Linked DNA regions of Caenorhabditis elegans. The protein of the gene in region 1 interacts with the protein of each later gene in a pairwise test. Each region holds a gene or a part of one and is shown on either strand. Other genes may lie near its edges.

Evidence for each region.
Region 2: the proteins of F21D5.4 (region 1) and R05G9R.1 interact in a two-hybrid assay, tested with the Caenorhabditis elegans proteins (one large-scale study listed by BioGRID).

Annotation. Positions count from the first base shown.
Region 1 is NC_003282.8:8,733,833-8,741,463, reverse strand, and holds F21D5.4 (HTH CENPB-type domain-containing protein), read right to left. Parts: upstream 3,378-7,631; 5' UTR 3,376-3,377; coding exon 3,190-3,375; intron 3,142-3,189; coding exon 2,956-3,141; intron 2,912-2,955; coding exon 2,504-2,911; 3' UTR 2,363-2,503; downstream 1-2,362. Other genes in the region: F21D5.6 (Ribonuclease H2 subunit B wHTH domain-containing protein), read left to right, coding at 83-218, 265-356, 434-677, 725-847, 899-1,176; mrps-33 (Small ribosomal subunit protein mS33), read left to right, coding at 1,438-1,581, 1,633-1,869; F21D5.5 (uncharacterized protein), read left to right, coding at 2,090-2,138, 2,186-2,238, 2,288-2,360, 4,483-4,853, 4,899-5,076, 5,122-5,228, 5,272-5,664; F21D5.3 (Multicopper oxidase), read right to left, coding at 5,859-6,032, 6,086-6,170, 7,054-7,451, 7,500-7,607.
Region 2 is NC_003280.10:6,506,865-6,516,409, reverse strand, and holds R05G9R.1 (uncharacterized protein), read left to right. Parts: upstream 1-2,398; 5' UTR 2,399-2,426; coding exon 2,427-2,501; intron 2,502-2,882; coding exon 2,883-3,007; intron 3,008-3,233; coding exon 3,234-3,330; intron 3,331-3,379; coding exon 3,380-3,639; intron 3,640-3,722; coding exon 3,723-3,813; intron 3,814-3,858; coding exon 3,859-3,952; intron 3,953-4,013; coding exon 4,014-4,342; intron 4,343-4,399; coding exon 4,400-5,134; intron 5,135-5,179; coding exon 5,180-5,416; intron 5,417-5,463; coding exon 5,464-5,573; intron 5,574-6,093; coding exon 6,094-6,289; intron 6,290-6,333; coding exon 6,334-6,402; intron 6,403-6,454; coding exon 6,455-6,703; 3' UTR 6,704-6,910; downstream 6,911-9,545.

The sequences.
Region 1 (7,631 bases):
TCTCGTTTTTTGACGAATTTCGAACTATTTTCCATAAGTTTAGATCAATTACAAATTGTAATAAATCAGTTTCAGAACAAGAATGCCACCAAAAACTAGAAAAACAAAAAAAGAAGACGTCGAGGAAGAGGCTGTTGAAGAGATTTTAGAAGAAACTAAACCTGCAAAATTACCAGAATCCGATGAGAGTTATTCGAGAAAAGTTGTCATTTCCAAAGGTGATTTCCTTTATTTAATTTCAAAAATGAATGTTTTTGTTTTCAGAGGGCAATTTGCCAAATAGCCGAATCATCAAACTGCGGCACCCGAAGGAAGGACTAGCGCTGTTCAGAATCTCCGAAACGTGCTTTGATGAGGTAAAAATATTGGTCAAGCTTTCACAAAAAACCTGAATAAACTTTTAAATGAGAATAAACTTACAAAATTTATGCAGATTTTCGCTGTCAACGACGGTCATCGATCATTCTTCTACGGTGAGAGTGTAATCGAAAACGGAACAATTCACATATTCACTCCATACAATCTCGTCTTCATTTGTCTCCCATATCTACAAAAGACCGCAGGAAAATTTGTGGAAATTGGCGAAATATTGGTAGATGATCAAGTTGACGGGATCAAAGAATTGGCTGAAAATGAAAGAATTCTGAAAGCATTGGAAGCTGTTTCAGATGTCAAAGGTTTGGAAATATCAGTTCGTGGAGATGGAAAAATAAAAGATTTCCAGATGTTCTCGATGTCAAACTATATCGTTTGAACGATCAAAAAATGTTGGATTGGATGAGAAGGAAGTTTGATTCTCTCAAAAAACTTCTAGAAAGTGATGCCCACAAGTCTTTGTTGTCATGTCGTAAGTTTCTCGTTTTGCTTCTTAATTTTACCAAAATGAAATAAATTTCAGCGGAAGCATTCGATCGTTATGTTTTCACATTCCTGTCTGAATATCTTTCTTCTGATCTTGCATTGATTGTTAAAGATCATTTGAATATTCAAGATGCTACTGTCTCCGAGAACATCGATATGAGTATGAAACGAAAAGCTGTGGATGACGATGAGCTTGAAGATAAGAAGCAACCTGTCGCAAAGAAACCAAAAGAATCAGTACAATCAAAGAAACTTCAAGCCGCCTCGAAGGGAACCAAATCAATCAGCTCATTTTTTGGAAAAAAATCTGCTTGAATCTCTATTTTCTTTATTCAACAATTTCGCATATAATTTCATAACATTGACCTCAATTTATCTATGATTCCGATGCTATTACTTTGCTCAATCTCAATTTTGCATTTCACACATTTTTTAATTCGTGTACTAAATAACTGAAACTTTGAAACGTTTTCGATTGAGAATACTCCTTCCGAAATGGGTCCTTTGCCTATTTATATCTATATTTAACAGTTTCATCCGATTTTAACGGATCAACAATAAAAAAAATATTTTAAGATGGCGGCACGTCTGGCTGCATCACGAATTGTGCACGCCGGCCGCGGAATCTCTCAACCTACACCATTCGGAAAACGAATGGATCGATTGTCAAATCGAGTATGGGGAGAGGTTGTCATGCCAACTGACACTAAAAGTTTAAAGGTTTTTAGATGATTTTTATAAAGAAAAGTTTCTGAAAATTTTCATTTACAGGTTGTCCGAGTAATGTCTGCAGAACCATATGAAACCAAAGAACAATTATCACCGAAATACTATCCAAATCTTCCGATGTTTCATTATTTGACCAAAATGCTACGATTCCATGGACTATTTTTTGATGATCACGTAGTTTTCAGAGATGTTCAAGATAATTTGAAAATTATTCGCGGAAAAGTTGTTCGGCCACCAATCGGTCAAGGAAAGCGTGCACAATTGAGAGGAAAGAAGTAGTGTGGATGTTCTCGAAGTTTAAATCTAGATTAGAAGTTTTGTTGATTTTTTTTTTACGTTTGTTTTAATTGAAAATAAATTCTTTTTGAGGTTTTGCTACATTTTTCCAATAAAATTAAAGTTTTTAACACAGAAAATATCGATTATTGATTTTCTTTTTAATTGCTCCACAAATAATTGGCAGACGTTGCTTTTTTCAGCAGTTTTCAGACTTAGAATTATGAAAAGAGCAATGGATGGAGCAAAAAACGAAGCGAAAAAATCTAAAGGTTTCGATTTTGCAATTTATCTGAAAAAGTTCATCTCCGGTTTACAGATACTGATTTATTTGGACGACCACTGAAAAAGACTGGATCCTGGGAATCAAAGGTTTCAAAAATAAACTTCATTAAAAAAAACTAAAGTCTGATTTTTCCAGGACAACGGCGATTTGATGATTTTCACCCATTCAGAATGTGAAGGAAAAGAGAAAATTGCCGCATTCGATATGGGTAAGAATTGGTCACATTATTTTATTGGCGAGATTTAACTTTCCATGAGTATTCCAAATTTTGATTATGAATATCAGATATGAATTGTTTCAATGGAAAATAACATGCTATAGTTTTAGAAAAATATGAACGATAACAAAAAATTAATAAGATTTCGGAGAACGGTTCACAGATGTTTCGGTTTCTTCTACACTGTCTTCCTTCCCATTAGAATCCTTAATAAGCATCTCCAATTGTTGAAAAATGTTTATTTCTGGCAATTTCGATGATTCATTTGGTTTCTGTTTTACTTCACTCTCTGTGGTTGTACTATTGTTTCCCTCGACTTTTAAACTAGTTTCTCCATTTTCTGCATTAAAATCTTCTAGGAATCCTGAAACATTTCCTTCTGATATATTCTTCCATTCATCACTGTTAATTAGTTCAAAAAGTGATTCTTCAAGCGTTTTGTCTGTTGTGCCATCACTAGTTGATGGCGTTTTTGGGCTTGAACTTCTTGCTTTTATCAATCCGTGTCGAATCATAAATCTTTGAAGCCAACCATTACTTGCCTAGAAAATATTTTATTCGAAATTCGAGTTTAAATGTTTCAAACCTTAAAGTCTGCATTTCCATTAATTTTCTTCGCATATTCCTTGATATCTTTTCCCGAAATTTTCCCGTTTTTCGAAGCAATCCAATCTTCAACTTTCTCATCTAATTCCACATTCTTTAGCGGTCTTCCTGCTCCACCGAGCCTCTTTGCTCCTTGTTTTCCTTCTGATTCGAATGCTAATTCGTGCTGAAATTCCAGAAATTTGTTGATAGAACTACTGTAGTTCAGAAATACCTTCAAATGTCTCCATCGTTGAATACAAGCTCTTGCAACTCCATATTTCTTCTGAGCTTGACAATTATTTGTTTGTTCAGCAAATCGAATAACTTCATTTTTGAATTCGAGTGTAAAATTGGCACGCTTCTTTTTTGGTGGTGGCTCGGATGAAGTTTCAAGTATTTTAGGAGAGATTTCAGTCATTTCTGAAGTTTAAAGCTGAGAATTCTACATTTCGGTTAGAATAGTATTACTCAGATTCGAAATTTTGCGATTTCCTACGCAAAAATGCGATACTAGGTCTTGGCACGACCGAATATCCTTTAAAAAGTACAGTAATCTCCCTGCCTCATTGGTTTGATTTTCCGATTTTCACATTTTTCCCAAAAAAAAATTGTTTTTTGTGAGACAAATCAAAAAATACTAAAATTTTATGCAAAATTCAGGAAAAAAGTCGAAGATGAATAAGTCAGAACAGTGACTCGTAGAGGTTACTGTACTTTTTAAAGGTGCACTTTTTTTCATATAAACTTATTCCGCAGTGTCAAGACCGAGTATCGTATTTTTGCGTTGAAAATCACAAAATTTCGCATCTGTGTAATATTTACATTTGCATCTTTAGAAAAGATAAAATAAATAAATAGAAAAAAATCAATGAATTCTAACGTCAAGAAGAAGGGAGTGCCGTTTTAATAGAGGGTGTCCACACTTCAAGAGACAACAGACAAACATTCAGAGTGTGTATGAAGATGAAGAGACACAGACAAACATACTATGCCTGTCTAATGGAGGGAGGCTGTGACCTACAATTAGAGAACACAGACGACTAGAAATACTGAGTGGTGTATGGATATATTTTTTGATTTTCTTGTTGTTGATGAGTGGGAAAACTCACGTCTTCTATCAAAAGAAAACACATATTTTTGGCGCAGAATTGATAATTTTCACGAAATATGAAATTAGTATCAAGAAACTTGGCCTTACTGAGACTATTCAAGCAGTGAGCCTCTGGCTCGGTACATTTATCCCTTGAACCTAAAATTGTGATGTAATTTCCATTTGATTTTCTTCAAATTAAGTAGTTTGCACAAATTAATAAAAATGTAATACTAATCAATTTTTTTTTTGGTAAATTGCCAAATTTTTGTGGAAATCCCTAAAATTACTGTAGATTCGAACCCCTACAACTATTTTTTGTCGATCTCCACAACAATAATAGATGAAAACCTGAAAAAGGTTAAATTTATGAGTTGTTCTAAACTTTCTAGTGTATGAAAAAAATATTTTTGTTTAAAAAAATCGTATTTTCAGACGGAACTCTGATCAAAACAAAGTCTGGAAAAGTGTTTCCAACAAATTGTCAAGATTGGCAACTTCTATATGACTCAATTCCATCAGATTTCAAAAAATTGCATTCCGACGGATTCAAAATTGTCATTTTCACAAATCAAAAAGGCATCCACGCTGGAAAAGTTGATCGAAATGAATTTAGGAAGAAAATTGAAGCAATTGTTGGAAAACTTGGAATACCTGTTCAAGCATTTGTTTCAGTTGCTGGGGGACACTATAGAAAACCATGTGTTGGTATGTGGAATGAGCTGAAATTGAGAAATGATGAAGTGGAAATTAATGAAAAAGAAAGCATTTTTGTTGGAGATGCTGCTGGAAGAATCAAGACTACAGTACGTGTGAATAGATTCAACTTTCATTTAATTCTAATTTTATAGAGTCGTCCTAAAAAAGATCACTCATACGCAGATCGTTTCTTTGCTGCAAATGTCGGTGTTAAATTTCAAACTCCAGAAGAATTTTTCGGAAAATCGAAAGTTGATGAGCCCTGGGGACCACCAAACTTTGATCCAAAAAATCTATTTTCAGAGGAAATTACTGAACTTGAACCTCATGGTGAAATAAAATTATGAGAAAACATAAATATAATTATATTTTCAGATGCTCAACTTAAATCATCCGAAAAAGAAATTATTCTAATGGTTGGATTTCCCGGTTCAGGAAAGTCGACTTTTGCTAAAATGCTCGGTCATCAACATGATTATAAAGTAAGTTTTGGAGCATTTTTCAACTCAAAAATTTTTGATTCATATTGTGAATCGTGACACGATCGGAACATGGCAAAAGTGTGTAGCAGCCACTCGTTCATATCTTGCTGATGGAAAATCTGTAGTTATTGATAACACATCACCGGATCTAGAATCACGAAAGCGATATATTGACGTGGCAAAAGAGCTCGGAGTGCCCATTCGATGTTTCGAGATGAATTGTAGTATGGAACACGCACAGCACAATATTCGATTCCGAGTGTTAACAGATGATAATGCAGCTGAAATCTCGTCAATGGTATTAAGAATTCATAAAGGAAAATATGTTGAACCAACACTGTCCGAGGGATTTTCACAGATTGTGAAAGTTAATTTCCGCCCGAAATTCGAAGTGGAAGAACACGAAAAACTTTACAAGATGTATTTGATCGAGTGATTCCAATTTGAAATTAATTAAATGTTAAATATATACTTACACATTCCAAAAATCTGAGTTTTAATTTTGTTGTTCAACTTGTGCAATAAATCTCATTCACTTTCCACTTTTTTCAGGCACACGTTCATTTATTAATATCAATATGACATCAAGCTGAGTAAAGTTCAAATTCTAATCATCAAAATTATCAATTATCAGTGAAATATTCTATCAATAATAAGAACTAGGCACACAGCAATGAAAGTGTATGGGATATTCGAAGATTTTTGAGTTGGAAGCCTTAATTCTGGTAATTTATCAACTTTGAAGACACCACAATCATGCGGGAAATTGTCAGGTGGCATGTAGATTTGATTTTGATCACCAACCTAAAATAGAACAGTTAGAAATTGCACTGATACTGATATTAAGTGTATTTTACCTTATATGCATATCCAGTTCCACCCATTAAATGAAGTTCCAAGTGACAATGAGCAAACCACCATCCTGGATTTACAGCACGGAATCTGAAATTATTAATTTGTTTCTTGAATGAGTATTAAAAATATAAGAGAGTGTTAATTCTTATCCTTAAACTTTAATAGTAAAAATTTTGAGATCGTTTCGCAAAAAATACGGTGGATGGTTTCATCACGAAAGAAAAATGTTCAACTCGAGATTGCACAAAACTAGGTGCGCCTTTAAGAACTACAGTATACACTTTTCCTCGATTTTACATTGTTTTTCACACTCAAAAATATGTCGAGACAAACAGATAGTTTGCCGGGTGAGTGAGAGAAAAAAGTGGAAATGGGTATAAAAATGTTTCAAAAAATTGGTTACTGTAGTTCTCAAAAGATTGTGTTCCTAACAATGGGTTCTCACGTGCTCCATGAATTAAAAAATGTTTTAAAAAAACAACGATTCGAAAACTGTTGTGGACGGAACGTAAACCTGAACTTTATACAGACGTGGCCTTTGGGTCATCATGAACTTATCGCGTAAGCGACCTCTCTTTATAATTCATTACTTCTTACACTTCTTGTAATAAACTACTTCTCTCCTTGTCTTTCGCTCAATACACAACAGTGGCGATCAGGATGAGATGGGGAGGGGGACAAGTTGTGCGAGGATCAGCCCCAAACACTGATCATGCCTCCACTCGCCGCAGAGGTCGATATACCGCCTCTGGTCGTGATGCCCCTAGCCCAGGCATTTCTGGCTTTTTGTCATATAAGAGGGGAGATGTTGTGGACGGAACGTAAACCTGAACTTTATACAGACGTGACCTTTGGGTCATCATGAACTTATCGCGTAAGCGACCTCTCTTTATAATTCATTACTTCTTACACTTCTTGTAATAAACTACTTCTCTCCTTGTCTTTCGCTCAATACACAACAAAAACCTACCGAATAGTGATATATCCTCCAACTGGCAATGTAATAGTATCTCTTTTCGTTGGATTCTTAGTATTCATTGCTTCTAATGCTCCACCTAACCAATCTTTATTTCTCCATTTCTTTCCATTACAACTAACATCTCGTCCAGGACAATCAATATCTTGATTCATTTGATCAATAAATCCAGATCCATTATACGATGGCCATCCAACTTTCATCACATAAAAATGATGTCCATGAAGATGGAATGGATGAGCATAACCAGTTCCCATTGCACCACCAAGTCCCATATTATAAAGGGTTATTTGCACAATATTATTTAATTTATGCTCCAAATGATAGAAACAACGACATGTTGTATCGAGATCTGACATTGAGTTGTTGGCACAAGCAGTTTGACTGCACGACTGTAAATAATATAAAATGGATATTTTCTCCCGTCGACCCTAACTCACCGTTGAAATAGTTTCCATGTCACCATCATGATAATATGGAATACCCCATGGGAATTGGAATAAGAATTGATCCATTTGAGAGTCATGGTGCATGTTGATAAAATGCTCCTGCAAAAAGTGGGCTCGTGATTA
Region 2 (9,545 bases), on another chromosome or scaffold:
AACCCTTCATTTAAAAAAACCTCACAAGTCTAAAGAATCTAGACTAATTTCTAAATTTGCATATCGTAGTTTGGCAGAAGTTTGGCACTCCAGTTTAAAGGCACGTACTGTTTTTTCTGAATGGGTCTCACCACGATAACAGTCTCTGTCAATTTCAGCAAACCTAAAATCTTTTACATCCTCACAATGCTTTCCTTGTCATATTCGTTTCTACAGTATCTGAAAAATAAATTGAAATATAAAAATTGTTTTAGAAACATTTACTTACCACTAGAAAAAAAACCTTATCTACATTTACATATTCCAATGATTAATTCGCAATATTTTCTTTAATAATTTACGATCTCTGCAAAAATTGATATGTGCATACAAACACTCACTGATGCTAATCTAACGGAAATTCCTGGCTTTATTATAATTATTCTCTCATAAACTCGTCTGGTGTGTGGCGGGTCGAAAGTCGCGAAAATCTTGAAAAAGCATCTCATTGTCGCCTTATTCTACAAACCTTTTTGATAGAAATCTGCATAATATCTGCCTGTGCGGGTGCGTGTTCCGGTGAAATTGGGAAAGTTGGGAGAAAGTCATCTAGAATGAGATACACCGTATATCTCATTGTTTTTCCTTTTTTCATTTAGATTTCTTTACATACTTCTCAGTTTACTTCTAAACGACGTGGCGATACACACTTCTGTATATACTGCGTTATTACTGCATGTTTCGAGAATATACACATGCGTCTCGCCTCATCTTTCATTTAATCCATTTAATAATAGGATCTTGAATTGAAATGTGGTATATAAGAAAAGTCTCATCTATTGATAACTAACAGTTTATCACTTTATCTATTAGGATTTCACTTTGAACTTTTTAGCGAATGTTTTAGATGCATTTCTTCTTTCATTCCAATTATTACTTCATTTTTATAATTTCTATTTTGCTAGTGACCAAACATTTATGAAACTATTTGGTTAAATTTAATGTGAAACTTTTCTTGGAAAGAATTTAGACTTTAGTTATCTTTGAACTTATCTTAAAATTTTTTGAAATTTCTTACCACAGATTTACCCAATTACTAATGTTTTATGTGGGCCTAAAAATTTTGACTAATCTTAATCTCCAAAGCACGACGTACACACTGATGGCTTTTTGTCTCCCCTTTTCTTCCAAATTTTGTCTAATTTGTGAGTGATGATGTCGTTCTTTTTTCTGCATCAGGGCAGGGATACTATGCGGAACAACACTCATATGTATAGAAAAAAAGCTGCACGTATCCAAAACCTTTTACCTGATCCTTTTTATGATCCAACACGACCCTGCACTTTCAGTCAGTCAATTAGATTTATGTGTCCTCGTCATTTCGTTACGTACGTTGAAACTAGCTGCATAAGGAAAGAGAATCAAATGGGTGGAAGGGGGCATATCCGAAAGTTATTGCCATTTTGAAACCAATTGCCACCCTATTTGGGGAAAGTTTATAGAGAAGGAGGAGATGAATGTATTCAGGTATTCCTTTCCTGAGTCATTCTCCCTATTCCAAAAAAAAATTCCAGAACTGCTTGTTTCTCGTCGTTTTGTGTCTTTTCAATGTCGGCCACCTTGTCCATTTCATTGCCAATCAAAATGCAATCTAAGTTTCTCGATGACGATTTTCCTGTAATAAACATACCGCTCCTTTTCCACAAAAGATTGTCACTTCTTTCTTTTTGACTATCCCAAAGTTGCTAATTCCTCTGCTGGGATTGGACTTTTTATCAAATCCCCAGTTTTCTTGCCTATTCGTTTGCAAATCGAATGCCACAGATTGGCTGGAATATGTTTAATTTTTCAAGCATATTTTTCCTTCTCCCATGAGTTTTGAATCCATATTAGTCAGACGCTTTTGTCATTCTCATTGAGCAACCAATTTAGATTTCCTCTACAGGAAGTTCAACTTCAATTTCACATTTTGCTCTGTGCGGCTTGATTAATAGCTAGAGTCGAATATTTTTGGATTTTTTCAAAAACAACCAAGAACTATCAAAGCCGTTCTGGTGAATTTACTCTGTTAGGAACATCTTCATCTTAGTCTTCGTGGATTCCGACATACATATTCACTTGTTCAAATGTATCGATAACTCGGCAAACTTCCCGGTTTTTTCATGCATTCTTTCTTTTTCTTGATATCCACAAATAGTTACAATGCCCTTACCAATTTGCCAAGAATTTGATCTTTGAATTGTTTTACAGTAACAGAGGCTTTTTGCTCCAGTAATTGGTAGTTGAATTTGAATCAAAGAAAATGTTTCTCACACTAGTTAATTCAAGTCTTCTAAATTTAATTTTATTTACTACTGTTTCATATTCCAAGTTTATGTTATTATACTTTTCAATTATTTCGGTTATTTCTCTTAATTGCAGGTCCTGCCAACATCGATCTCTTCGAGATGGTCGATCGAAGTCGGCATCTCATGCCACATTATTTTCATGTATTTCTGGTCTTAGTGATCTCGATTAATCAGGTGAGAAGATATATTTGAAGTGGGCAACTTAAAACAAGAGTACAGTTGACCACCCACCCAGACACTTTTCTTATTCTGACGATCACTTAATTTGCGTATTCTTCTTCCTTTTCTGGCTTTTTTTGCAACATGTGTCCATTCTCCGTTAGCCAACTTCTCTTCCTTGTTTGTTGAATAAAATATAATGAAAAGTAGTGGAGGGACGTCGGTGATTGACGGCTTGGGAATGTGTACAGAAGCAAAACGGAGACCGTTCGGAGACAAGAATAATTGTGGCAATTATGACCGGTGAAGAGAAAGTTACACGGGGGAAAGGGTGAAATTGAGAAGGCAAAATCACGCTAGGTGACCATAGTTAAGGTAACAAATTCGAAGTTTCAGGTGAGTGCAAATGGATGTGACAGATATGTTAAATGTCGGAATGATCTTCTTGAAGTACACTGGAAATGTGCAGAACCATCAAGAAGATTTACTCAACATGCATGCAAGATCAACGATTTATATGGGTAAGAAGTTTTGAACAGATATATGTTCAAACTTACAACAATCTGAAAACACATTTTAGTCTAGATTGTTGTTAGCTCTCATGAATCTTGAAATTTTAATAGTGGAAAATTATGTCTGACTGTAAACAAAAATTTCAATTTTTTAGATTTTTCAGATTTTTTTTGAAACCTTGTTGCATTAAAATTATACGTCAGGTTGTCGAAGCTTATAAGGATTATTTTCCAGAAACCACAAGGCAACATCTTACAACATAGAGTCATTGTTCAGTGATTGCGCCTCCAAATATTCTGCAATCAGTGAGATAGACTTTCTGCTCATGACTGTGAGACAGTGCTCGATTGCTAATCCAGTATTTTTTTAAAATATTTTAGGATCCATCATGTCATAATGAAATTGAAATGGATTCTCGACCACTATTCTTTTCTTCTGCAACTTGTTGGAGTGATCTTATGAGACTGACACAGAAATGTTTCACCTTGAGCCGATGTTGTCCAGCAGCTCAAAGATGCGGGGCAGAGATGGAAGGAGATGTGATAAATGAGCAATATGAACTTGAGAAAAGTCAAATAAAGTTGAGACTGGAAGAATGTGCAGTTGATATGGCTGCAGTGTTGAGGGCTCCTATTTCAAGGTTGGAATTTTTAATACAGTCCAAGCTAAGAAAAAAACAACTTTAAATCTATGAGATGAAGAAATTATATTTTCATTTTTCAGAGAAGACGCGATGATTGCTCGGAAAGTTAGTGAGGCAACGAAAGTTATGCTAAGATCAGTAGTTCCGTTTAAAGTTTATCCAGATCCGCACGTGAGAACATTCATGAATATTCTATCATATCTAACTTTGTTTTAGAAACGAATAACAAAGAGGACAAAACATGGAAAGAAACCCAGAGAATTTGCTGCACCTCTGGCAGTCAGACCCAGGGCACTCAGGAAATTCAGTAGTGAGTTAATTTTTGGATTTTGCTATATATTTATGACAGACCGTTCTGAACAATATTTCAGAAAATCGATACGGAATCTCCAAGCGAAAATTTTTGAAGACAGTTCGTACTGGAAGAGCTGAAATTCTTCACTCCCCAATAGAACCACCAACAACTTCTCTAAGTCCATTTATTGTTCTTCATCACGGTGGAACAGCCATTCAGACATCGTCACAACCGCCAGCTTTCTCTCCATTCACATTCCAGTCTATTGATTTTGACGCTAGAATGAATCGGAAGTTTAGAAGAAATAAAAAACGAAGACTCCGAAAGAAGAAACATGATTTTGAAGATGAACCACCATTTGCACAAGCTTCAAAAATTACAGAATCCAGATTTGATCCCCGTCACGTAAGTTGATCATTTAAAACACCCTAAGATCAAATAGGTATATTTGCATGATTTCAGGCAGCCGAAAAACTAGACAAACTTAACGGAAATTTGAAACAAAAAGGAGAATTTGGAAGATCAATACTTCCAAAAATGTTAATGGTGAAACAAAATAAGGGAAGCTTTTTGGGATTTGCACAGCCCGTTATCAAACCACTATATTTTTCAAGACAAGAACAAGTTGAACCCAATCAGAGCGTTGATCAAATTTACGATGATATCATTGGCGATCAGAGAAATAAAAATGAATTGTCAAATTCTATAATCGATGCAACAACGATAAGACCTCCAGATTTCAATTTTATTCCAATTGTTCAAGAAAATACACCGGATATGAGAGAAGCATTCATAAATAACAATGGTGCATGGACGATGGAACCCACAACCGAACAAACAACGGAAACCCCACCTCCATCAAGTACTCTTCCACCTCCAACCATTACTTATCCAACAACTTATCTTTCAACATCATCAGTTCGCCCACCATCTTCTCGTCTTACATTTTCGCCAATTCGTAGAACAACTACACTTGAAGAACCAACTACAACAGTTGAAATGACAACTACAACAAAACCTATCACAACAACAGAAGTTACAAGCGAACCACCAACACCTTCATTCTCAGTTGATCCATTGATTGATTATGTTACACATGAATTATTAGATAAGCATATGGAAAAACAAAAGTCAGACGATGATGAATTTGATTTTTCGAATGCTGATTATATTGATATTAGTGCGATGGACATTGATGTTTGTTAATTTACATTTACTATACATTATTATTTTTCCTTTCAGCCCGGTACATCCACCACTCCAATGTTCCCAATTCCAATTGCCAGATATGAACAAGTAAACAGTTCATCTTCAATGTGGCCGATGGATGGACAACGTCGTCCATCTACTTCAGATCACACCACAACTCCACAATTACGAACTACAGCTGCTCCATTGAGTCCTGGAAGGCTCAGTGAGCAACAAAATGAGGATTTAATACCACTACCAACGGCGGCTTATACGTTTGGATCTGTTGATGTTAGTGGAAAATGTCTACTGAAAAGTATGAAAATGACTGTTCTCAGGTAACTCCATCACCATCAATAAGCACAACTCCACTGGAAGATCAACTGTGGCCATTGCCAATAAGAAAAAGACATCGGCTGAAATTAATGGGAGCGAAAATGAGAGAAAAGTGGGTTGATATCAAAATATGCGTGACAATGTGTCTTCATGTTTTTGTAATGAAAACTGTAGATATTGTCAACTCGCTTGTTTTACACTTCGTTTTATTTTTGTCCAGAACATCCTAGAGACCTACCTAGAATTTATCTAGCCATTTTCCACATTTTGTCAAAGCTATGGCAAATGCCAAAATTTAAAAAAAAGTGGAATTTTGTCGTAATTTCGAGAACTGCTGCAGATTCCTACAATGTTTTTATCCAAACAACTAAAAAGCGACAAAAGTATAAAAATTGTATTAGAAAATGTGACCATTGCTTCCTAGGATCATTTTTGAACAATTACCCCAATGACACTAGTCCGAATCAAAATTAATTTATCTTCTTTGGGAACAAAATGACATTAGGAGTTTAGTATCGTGCCGAAATTGTGCCTATAACTATACCTATCACAACCTAGATATCGATACGTGATCATGTATTCGCTAATTTTCCCATTCTTATGATTGCAATAGAAACTTGTCAATATTCTAGAACGAAACCAATTGTCATTTTGCCAATGAACAAGAAAAATGCCAAAAAGATGGAGCAATACAAGCGGACACTACAAACTGGATGCCAAAGATATGATAAATGTCTTCGGAAAGAAGTTGAAATGCGAATTAAATGTGCTCAACCATACCCGACGCCATATGATAAATGCTCTTCTCAACTGCTTCCACTTTATAAAGTGAGTTAATTCAGAGATTCTCCACCGCTCATCTACCTGTTCAGTTAATTGATGAAGCTTCGAACAACAAACTACAATTTTTCATAAAATGTGTTGCGCACTCGCAGGAACAGGTGAAATAGAAAGAGAGAGCCACTGCTATAATAACATTTAAAAAAAATTCAGAATTCTAAATGTTATGCACCGAAGAAAATGCGTGCACAGGAAGTGATATGTGAGAATCTCGAAGTTTGGTCATCATACTGTAGGCAACTAGAACTATGTTGTCCAGCCAAGGATCGATGCGACTCAGAAGCCGAAGACGATCATGTTGGTACTCGCTTACGTCTTCTAGAAAAATCGTTTTCACTTCGTGCAGCTGCCTGTCAATTCAAACATGCATTCCATCGAACACTGACAAGAAAGATGTTATAAATGCTATGATCCTTGTAGGATGTTTAGAACTAAACTATTTTTTACGACAATTACGGGATTTCTGTTTTTAATTTTTGTTTTCCAATTTTCTGTATATTTTGAAAATGCTCACACCCCTATTAAGCTCAAATATTAACTTATGAATATAATGGAATGTTTCAATTCTTTGTTTAAAAATAACAGGGTTAAATGAATCAACTTTTCCTATTTTCGCTAGATTGATTGGACTGAAAAGTTGGAAATGAACCAACAAACAATGTAGTGTGAGAGGAGGGAATGAACCTACGAAGAATTGAGAACCAAAAATACAGCACATGTATTTTGTGGGAACTCAAGAGAAAGTGTGGGAGGAGGGAATGAACCTACGAAGAATAGAGAACCAAAAATACTGCTCCTGTATTTTGTGGGAACTCAATAAGAAAATAGGAGATCTGGAAAAGCCCGAACACTAGGGAGAGACCCCAAAATACTGGCTGTATTCTGGACCGATCATCTCGTAGAAACAGAAGAAGGAAAAGTGTAAAATTAACCTAACAATTAGGTTGAGAACCCAAAACACTGCTCCTGTATTTTGTGGGAACTCAATAAGAAAATAGGAGATCTGGAAAAGCCCGAACACTAGGGAGAGACCCCAAAATACTGGCTGTATTCTGGACCGATCATCTCGGAGAAACAAAAGAAGGAAAAGTATAAAGTTAACCTAACAACTAGGTTGAGAACCCAAAATACTGCTCCTGTATTTTGTCGAAACTCAATAAGAAAATAGGAGATCTGGAAAAGCCCGAACACTAGGGAGAGACCCCAAAATACTGGCTGTATTCTGGACCAATCATCTCGTAGAAACAGAAGAAGGAAAAGTGTAAAATTAACCTAACAATTAGGTTGAGAACCCAAAATACTGCTCCTGTATTTTGTGGGAACTCAAGAGAAAGTGTGGGAGGAGGGAATGAACCTACGAAGTATAGAGAACCAAAAACACTGCTCCTGTATTTTGTGGGAAATCAAGAAGAAAATAGGAGATCTGGAAAAGCCCGAATACTAGGGAGAGACCCCAAAATACTGGCTGTATTCTGGACCGATCATCTCGAAGAAACAGAAGAAGAAAAAGTATAACGTTAACCTATCAACTAGGTTGAGAACCAAAAATACTGCTCCTGTATTTTGTGGGAACTCAATAAGAAAATAGGAGATCTGGAAATGCCCGAACACTAGTGAGAGACCCCAAAATACTGGCTGCATTCTGGACCGAACATCTCGAAGAAACAGAAGAAGAAAAAGTATAAAGTTAACCTAACAACTAGGCTGAGAACCCAAAATACTGCTCCTGTATTTTGTGGGAACTCAAGAGAAAGTGTGGGAGGAAGGAATGAACCTACGAAGAATAGAGAACCAAAAATACTGCTCCTGTATTTTGTGGGAACTCAAGAAGAAAATAGGAGATCTGGAAAATCCCGAACACTAGTGAGAGACCCCAAAATACTGGCTGTATTCTGGACCGATCATCTCGAAGAAACAGAAGAAGAAAAAGTATAAAGTTAGCCTAACAACTAGGTTGAGAACCCAACATACTGCTCCTGAATTTTGTGGGAACTCAATAAGAAAATAGGAGATCTGGAAAAGCCCGAACACTAGGCAGAGACCCCAAAATACTGGCTGTATTCTGGACCGATCATCTCGAAGAAATAGAAGAAGGAAAAGTATAAAGTTTACCTAACAACTAGGGAGAGACCCCAAAATACTGGCTGTATTCTGGACCGATCATCTCGAAGAAACAGAAGAAGGAAAAGTATAAAGTTAACCTAACAACTAGGTTGAGAACCCAAAATACTGCTCCTGTATTTTGTGGGAACTCAAGAGAAAGTGTGGGAGAAGGGAATGAACCTACGAAGAATAGAGAACCAAAAATACTGCTCCTGTATTTTGTGGGAACTCAAGAAGAAAATAGGAGATCTGGAAAATCCCGAACACTAGGGAGAGACCCCAAAATACTGGCTGTATTCTGGACCGATCATCTCGAAGAAACAGAAGAAGAAAAAGTATAAAGTTAACCTAACAACTAGGTTGAGAACCCAAAATACTGCTCCTGTATTTTGTGGGAACTCAATAAGAAAATAGGAGATCTGGAAAATCCCGAACACTAGGGAGAGACCCCAAAATACTGGCTGTATTCTGGACCGATCATCTCGAAGAAACAGAAGAAGAAAAAGTATAAAGTTAACCTAACAACTAGGTTGAGAACCCAAAATACTGCTCCTGTATTTTGTGGGAACTCAATAAGAAAATAGGAGATCTGGAAAATCCCGAACACTAGGGAGAGACCCCAAAATACTGGCTGCATTCTGGACCGATCATCTCGAAGAAACAGAAGAAGAAAAAGTATAAAGTTAACCTAACAACTAGGCTGGGAACCCAAAATACTGCTCCTGTATTTTGTGGGAACTCAATAAGAAAATAGGAGATCTGGAAAATCCCGAACACTAGGGAGAGACCCCAAAATACTGGCTGTATTCTGGACCGATCATCTCGAAGAAACAGAAGAAGAAAAAGTATAAAGTTAACCTAACAACTAGGTTGAGAACCCAAAATACTGCTCCTGTATTTTGTGGGAACTCAATAAGAAAATAGGAGATCTGGAAAATCCCGAACACTAGGGAGAGACCCCAAAATACTGGCTGTATTCTGGACCGATCATCTCGAAGAAACAGAAGAAGAAAAAGTATAAAGTTAACCTAACAACTAGGCTGAGAACCCAAAATACTGCTCCTGTATTTTGTGGGAACTCAAGGAAAGTGTGGGAGGAAGGAATGAACCTACGAAGAATAGAGAACCAAAAATACTGCTC